Linked DNA regions of Rattus norvegicus. The main gene of each other region encodes a partner of the protein of the gene in region 2 in a complex. Links are inferred from orthologs where the notes say so. Each region holds a gene or a part of one and is shown on either strand. Other genes may lie near its edges. The genes, in order: Ssu72 and Sympk.

Region 1 (3,442 bases), on a different chromosome or scaffold from region 2:
TGGTCCCCAGCTCCGGAAAAAAAAAAAAGAACCAAAAGTAGTCTCTATCCAGGCAAGAAGTGTGCGTATGTGGTGGAACCAACGGCAGTCTTCCCAGGCAGGGCCATCCTGTGACCACAGTTCTTGGTCTGACTCTGGGTAGTGGGGAATGCAAAGTGGCTTTTCCCACTGTCCCTAGCTCTGTCCATGTGACTTTCTCCTCACTATCTCCAGCTTTTCCTTGGAGTCAGTACTAATTCTGAGTTACCAGGAACTTGATTGGATCCCTGCCCCAGGAAAGGCCTATTTCCCTGTCCTCTTTCCCATAAGTTATACGAGCCACAGGGTTTGGTCTTGAACTCATTCTCTCCTCCAGTACGTTTGAAGGACTCTATAAACTTGGGTGCAGCTCTTGTAGGCAGCAAGGAGACATTAGAGGATGCTCCAGGGCCTAGCCCCAGAAGAGCCTATGATGCAGGGGATGGAACTACCTAGCAGCTCTTGATCAGGTATCTTCCAGTTAAAGTGTTTAGATTGGCCACTTAAATGTGTTCTAAAATAATGTAGGAACTGTTTTTTAAGGCACTATGAAATGGCTCAGTGGGAAAGGACATATAAGTCCTAAACCCCATATGAGACTGAATAGCCTCCTCGGTCATACTGACCACAGCTCTGATTTTGCTTTTAGCACTAGCTAAAGTTACCTCTTATCTGTGCCTGTTTGTTTTACTTGCAAACTGGAGTTCTATAGCAGAGACAAAGCCCCAATCCAGCTAAGCTATGGTGAGAAGAAAATCTGAAAAAAAAAATCCATTGAATTTTTTATTTTATTTAGTTTAGTTTTTATTTATTTTTTATTTATTATTTAGTTTCTGGAGACAGAGTTTCTCTGTGTAGTCCCAGTTGTCCTGGAACTCACTCTGTAGACCAGACTGGCCTTGAACTTGAGATCTGCCTGTATCTCCCTCCTGAGTGCTGGTATAAGGGCATGTACTACCAGACTTCCACTATATTTCTTAAACCCCAGCAACAAAAAGGGTCTGGAAAACTCCCACTGATGATCCAGAAAGGACAAGTTCTTTTTCATCTGAAAGCAGGGAGACTGCCTGATGAGATCAAAAGGATATTCCAGATGGCACCTGTATGCTTAGGCCCATCAGCCCTGGCAAAAGCCAGGAGAGCCACTGCCTCTGGGGCTTTCCATCCTCAAATAGTCCCTGGACCACTCATAGTCTGAGGTCTACGCTGTGCTGCTCTGGACACTTAGGAACAAGGATCTGTTTAACTTCCTGTTCCAGGCTGAGAGGAGGGGCCGGTACCATGCCTTTACTTTGTCCAGTCAGAATGACAGGGCTATCTGGAGCCACTCTGTGGGTTTGGGTTGTCATGAGGGTTATGATCTAAGAGGTCAGCACTTTCCTGTACTTCCTGTTGTAGGGCAGGGGCCACCCTGCTTGTGTTCAGGCCTAGAGCTATGGGTGATCATGTTGACAAAGGCCAACTTGGAGCCCTGAGAAGCAGGGGCCGTTGACAGGCAGGTCTACATTAGTGGACTATCTTTTATCCAAAGCTCCTTGACTCTGGTGTTCAGCTATACACAAAATGGAATTCTACATATGTTGGACAGAAATAAAAGGATCAAGCCCCGTCCAGAAAGATTCCAGAACTGCAAAGACCTGTTTGACCTGATCCTCACTTGTGAAGAGAGAGTCTATGACCAGGTTGTAGAAGGTGAGTGCACATACAACACCAACACTAGGCTAATAGACATATGGTTGCCCTGGGCAACAGTGGTGTTGAGACAGAGGGCACCCTCACATCCTCTGACCTGTACGGACATCTGGAGGATAGCCTGTGAGGAGTAAGCACAAGACTGATGTCCAACAAAGCTTACGCCCTGTGGCCTTCAGTGTTTGCTTTTCCTATGTTAGGCCTGGCATTTTGTGGAACATGCTGTTGGTCCAGGGTTGCCTGGCATAGGATGGCCTGGATTGAGTACACTGTTTACCTTGGTCTCTTAGCCCATGTTGGGGGCTGTCCCTCATGTTAGTTCATTGGGTTTGGGGGCTCAATCTTCAGTTAAATTCCTCAGAGTTCAGGGGCAGGCATGGTAAGAACTGGACTTGGATACATCTGCACTCGGTGTCTCTTTTTACCAATCAGATCTGAACTCCAGGGAACAGGAGACCTGCCAGCCAGTGCATGTGGTCAATGTGGACATCCAGGACAACCATGAAGAGGCCACCCTGGGAGCATTCCTTATCTGCGAGCTCTGCCAGTGTGTGAGTCTCAGCACCCAGGTCTAGGCAGTGCCTACCAGAGGAAGTAGCTGCAACCCAGTCCTGTTGGGGCTGCAGAGGAGACAGTGCGGTGGAGGACAGGGGCAGGGAAGGCATGTCACAGTGCCTGGGGTTCACTTAAGGCTGTGCTTTTCCCAGATCCAGCACACCGAGGATATGGAGAATGAAATCGATGAGCTGCTGCAGGAGTTTGAGGAGAAGAGTGGCCGGGCCTTTCTGCATACTGTCTGCTTCTACTGAGCCATCCCGCTTGGTGCATGGCCTGGCACCACCAAGCCACCTTTGCTGAAGTCACTTTTTCCATGTGTTTTCCCTGCTACGTGTACATCACCAATGTACTGTACATATAGAGTGAGACATACACAGAAATGCCAGATTCAAAACCATTGTTTTTAACCAAAAGAAATAAAGATGGTTTACTCTACACCCTACAGCAAGTGTCTGTTGTTGGCCCACCTACCCGTTTTCTCTCCACTGCTGGACTGTACAGAAACCTAAGTAAAGCAACAGGCTGTCTTATTGAGGGGGGAAAACCTTGGAATTGCAACAAAATAGGTGCTTATAAAAGTCTTTGATTTGTCCTGAATTTCTGGCCTGACCCCCTGCAGAGGAAGAGGCTACCCTGGGCCTTTGAGCCCAGCCCTGTGACATACCTGAGATCACCCTTCTGAGAGGTAGGGCCAGTACCCTGGATACAACAACTCCAGTTGGGACGACTTGGGGGGCTGGAAGTCAGCTGTTCTCTTCCTGCTTTTGTCACACAGGGCAGGGTTGGTTCTTATGTTATCAGCTCTGTGGCCAACACAAGGGCTTGGGACTCAATTTGGCTCCAGGTATGACCGGCAGCCACAAGAGGATCATAGACACTGAGCTGCTGGCTTCAGGCAACTGTTCCAGCTCCTCTTCCTTCCCAGAAGTCGGCTAGTCTTTCCCACAACTGCCACGATCTCTATGGCATATTTGGCCCATTCCGTATTGCCTACCCTCTTGCCCTCCTACCTCTGGTCATGTAGTCATAGTCCCTGGTCTGACTTTTCAGGCCCCTCCTCTGATGGCACTTTCTTGCTGGAAGCGGCTGGGTGCTGACACTTCCTGTCCCTCTTTGGAACCAGGAGACCCAAGAGGAGGGGCCTGCCTTGGAGAAGTAGAGCCGAAACGACCAC
Region 2 (3,813 bases):
GAAAGGGCTTACAGTATGGGCTGCAGATGGGACAGGAGCAGAGCAAGAGACAGAAGGAAAGCAGGTGCACTCAGGGGTGCTCGGGCGGGGTTAGGTCTGATTCTATGATACAAGGGAAAAATGAAGACAGTGATGCTGACCGGAGCCTCTGTTGCACGTCAGGAAGCAAACTGCCTGACTGTCAGCATGGCTGTGTCTCTAACTTAGTGTCCACTAGGGAGGGGAACCATGACCATTCTCCCAAGTTAGGACAAAAGAGGTGTGGCTGCAGAACCCCACAAACGCTTGGTGGCTCTAGCACTGACTCTGAGGCAGAGGGAGAACCTGGTCCAGCACTCAGCCTACCTTATATTTGCAGGGCCCACATGCCAACGAGACGAGGACTCACCGTGGCTGTGTGACAGGAATGATGGGTTCTGGCCTCCTCTTGGCCTGGGGTACTTCCTCCTCCAAGGGGGACATGGTGCTCTGAGAGCCCACCACAGAGATGGCCTGGCCCTGCACTGACAGGCGCCGTTTGATCAGGACGCTCTCCGGCTTTACCACCTTCTCCTCCTTGGGCTCCTCCTTGCACTGTTTCGTCTGTTCCACACCTGAACGGATGCAGCCACAGGACCCAGCATGTCACCTGCACTCCAGGCTCTGCCATGACGCACAGGGCCCACAGCACTGTGTAGCCCAACTAACAAATGATCCGCGGACGGAGCCAGACAAGTCCATCCTGGAGCACAGCCAGTGCCCAGCTCAAGATGATTACCACAAGCAGGTCCCTCAGATTTATGTCCGTGTGGCATGCATGAGTATGCTTGTAAGTGTGTGTGCTGGTGTGCTAGACTGCATACACACGCGGGAGAGGCAGGCTTGCATCTTCATTTATCTCCACTTTACTTCTTATTGAGACAAGAATATCACTGTGCAGCCGATTAGCCTGGACTTGCTACGTAGAACAAACGTCAAACACAGGCATCCGCCTGAGTGCCGAGGCTCAAAGCCCACACTGCCGTCCTGCCCGCTTCTTACATTTTACTTATGTGTTGTGCATGTGTACACATACGGAGGTCAGAGGACACTTGTGGAGCTGGGACTAAACTCGGGTCTTTGGGTGGGGCAGCAGGCACCTTTGCCAGCTGAGAGCCATTTAACCAGACCCACATTACTGTCTAAAAGAGTTCACCCACGGAACCCTGTTTCAGCCAGACTAGTTGACCAGGAATATCCTCAGATCACCTGTGCCTGTCCCACCCAGTGCTGGGGTTACAGGTGCACACCACCTTGGCTTCTCTGTGGACGTTAGGGATCAGAACGATTATGTCTTATTTATCTGTATGGGGATTTACATACAGATGCTAGGGTGCATGTGTGCAGTTTTCTCCTTCCACCACGTGGTTCCAGGACTCACTTTGGGTTGGACAGCAAACATGTTCGCCCCGAGCTGTCTCACCAGCCCTTCTGAAGTTTGTGGGTCAGGGTCTCTCATGTACCCCAGGCTGTCCTTAAACTCACTATCCATCCAAGGATGACCCTGAACCTCTGACTCTCCTACCTCTGCCTCCTGGGATGACAGGTATGTCCACTAGAGTGTGCTCACTATACTGACTTTAGCAGCAGAGGGCATGGTGACTTGACAACACACTCAGTTGAAAACCTGAGGCACCAGAGTCATACACAGCCACTGTTCACAGCAACCATGTCTGAACCAAGGGATGGCAAGATGGCTCAGGGGATAAAGGGCACCCGAGTTCAAGCTTTGGAACCCACACAAAAGTGGAGCATGTCTTGTGAAGCTCACAGCCACGTTGACACTGTAGTTGTGCACGTGATGTGTTCCTGTTCATAAGTTATACTTCAAGACCATGCTGGTGCTGAGAGCAGCTCACACCCGCAATCTCAGCACTCAGGAAGCTACTCCAGAAAACGGGTGCAAGTTAGAAGCCAGCACGGCTGTACAGCAAGACCCTGTCTTACGGAAGGCAAAAGCCTGGGCTAGAGAGATGGCTCAGTCATGAAGGGCACATGATGCTCATGCAGAGGACCTAAGCTCCATTCCCAGCACCCACAACCTCTCCTAACTCTCCCAGGAATCTGACACCCTCTTCTGGCCTCTGACACACACATAAAGCAAAACAATCCAATCAAAGAGGGACAGACTCCAAGGCTCAGAGGCTGGGAAACCTGACACAAGTCACCCTGGATTCTGGTGGCGTCATCAGTTGGATTTCAAAGCTCAGGACCTGAAGTCACTGAGTACTCTGCATAATGATGGACCCAGGACAGGTGACATATTAGATGACATGTGACCTTCCTTTCCATGGCTCTCTCAGTAAGCAGAGTCCAGCACCACTGTGCTGCCTGGTTCAGCAGGAACTCACCAGGACCCAGTCCCGCAGCTGTCATCTGTGTGGCCATGAGCCGTGCCAGGTGCTTGATCTGGGCTTCTGTGCCTGCTGACTCCACGGGGGTGTAAATGGCTTGGAAGGAGGCAGGCATGGTCTCGGGCAGGTACACCATGCTGATGAGGACCTGTGCGAGGCCAAGGGAGGGGAACTTAGCCAGCCCATCCTAGGACAGCATTGGAGCCGCAGCAGGAACTGAGGTCAGGGCTGGGGCTGGGGCTGCTCTTTTCACCCTAGCTTCTGGGGAGCCAATGGCTGCCAGACTGTCACCTGGGTGACAGAGGCCCCAACCCCAAGAACAGAGTGAGCAGATGGGGAGTGGGGTACTGAGAATAAATAGCCACTAGAAGGACAGTTCTAAGGGAGGGAGGGAAGCCCTGGCTGATGCTACCAAGACAGCCATAGTGTAGGGCAGGCAGGGAAAGGACTGGGATCAGGCCCGTCCCTGGACATCACCCTCCTCACCAGATTGGCCACATTGTCAGGTGTCAGCAGAGGCTGCAAGAACTCAGCAGTGATGTCTGTGTCTGACTGGCCTGAGATCTGGGCTGAGGCCTTTGATGTCCCCGATGGGCCAGGCTCCAAGTCTTTGTCCTCATCATCTTCTCCCAGGTTGGGCTCTGAGAAGGGAAGGGAATAAGAAGCAGGTTCCCAGACTGCAGCAGGCCTGTGTTCAGGGAGCCACATGGCCTTCCTTTAGCAAACCACTGCAAGGAGCAGCCATACAGCAGGCAAGGACCTAGGCTGTAGTGTACTATGGCCATAAAAGTGCACAGGTCCCCAGTCAGCAAAAGCTCTTCCGGGTCTCAGTTCTCACCAGGGACATGGCAAAAAGCCAAAAACCTCTAGTTGACTTCAGTAAGCTCCAAGATGGTGACATATGGATAATATATTCTATATTGAAGATGGAATGCAGGAGCCTGCAGGAACCAGGCAGGTGCCCCCGGTGGGAGACAGTTCTGCTATTGCTTCAAGAGGCAGAGGCAGGCAGATCTCTATGAGTTTGAGGCCAGCCTGGTCTATAGAGTGAGTTATAGGACAGCCAGGGCTACACACAATCTTAAAAAAAAGTCTTTAAGAAAAACCAAATAAATAAAATCTTTTTTAAAAAGAGAAAATTGGGGCTGGAGAGATGGCTCAGCGGTTAAGAGCACTGACTGCTCTTCCAGAGGTCCTGAGTTCAATTCCCAGAAACCACATGGTGGCTCACAGCCATCTGTAAAGGGATCCAATGCCCCCTTCTGCTGTGTCAGACACACCAGATGCAGTGTACTCATATAAATATAATTTTTTTTAAAAAAAGGAGAAAATTGATTTTAGACAAATAACAAACAGAAACCCGTTACGGAGGTGTCCCTTCCTTTAGAGTGTTCTGTGGTTAGATGTGCAGGACAGTCCTACAGCAGCGACAAACTCTTCA

What was found.
Region 1: the proteins of Sympk (region 2) and Ssu72 are in contact, whole or in part, in a crystal structure (PDB 4H3K), measured with the Homo sapiens proteins. The link is inferred for Rattus norvegicus from reciprocal best matches to the Homo sapiens genes SYMPK and SSU72. Residues at the interface, in NP_004810.2 of Homo sapiens: Val123, Lys127, Leu131, Gln135, Asp175, Asn176, Asp177, Gly178, Thr181, His182, Lys185, Glu188, Pro204, Arg205, Arg206, Gln207, Ser250, Ile251, Thr254, Thr255, Asn262, Ala290, Ser292, Gln293, Ser295, Ser296, Lys299, Asn300, Leu303, His304; in NP_054907.1 of Homo sapiens: Glu113, Tyr116, Asp117, Val120, Asn124, Glu127, Gln128, Glu129, Thr130, Cys131, Gln132, Pro133, His135, Asp167, Glu169, Asn170, Asp173, Gln177, Glu180, Thr186, Phe187, Leu188, His189, Thr190, Val191, Phe193.

The regions. Positions count from the first base shown.
Region 1 is NC_086023.1:171,622,966-171,626,407, forward strand, and holds the end of Ssu72 (RNA polymerase II subunit A C-terminal domain phosphatase SSU72), read left to right. Parts: intron 1-433; exon of another isoform or gene 434-488; intron 489-1,549; exon of another isoform or gene 1,550-1,570; coding exon 1,571-1,710; intron 1,711-2,142; coding exon 2,143-2,261; intron 2,262-2,417; coding exon 2,418-2,519; 3' UTR 2,520-2,710; downstream 2,711-3,442. UniProt on the Homo sapiens protein: Protein phosphatase that catalyzes the dephosphorylation of the C-terminal domain of RNA polymerase II. Plays a role in RNA processing and termination. Plays a role in pre-mRNA polyadenylation via its interaction with SYMPK.
Region 2 is NC_086019.1:87,813,913-87,817,725, reverse strand, and holds part of Sympk (symplekin), read right to left. Parts: intron 3,014-3,813; coding exon 2,859-3,013; intron 2,521-2,858; coding exon 2,370-2,520; intron 594-2,369; coding exon 389-593; intron 1-388. UniProt on the Homo sapiens protein: Scaffold protein that functions as a component of a multimolecular complex involved in histone mRNA 3'-end processing. Specific component of the tight junction (TJ) plaque, but might not be an exclusively junctional component. May have a house-keeping rule.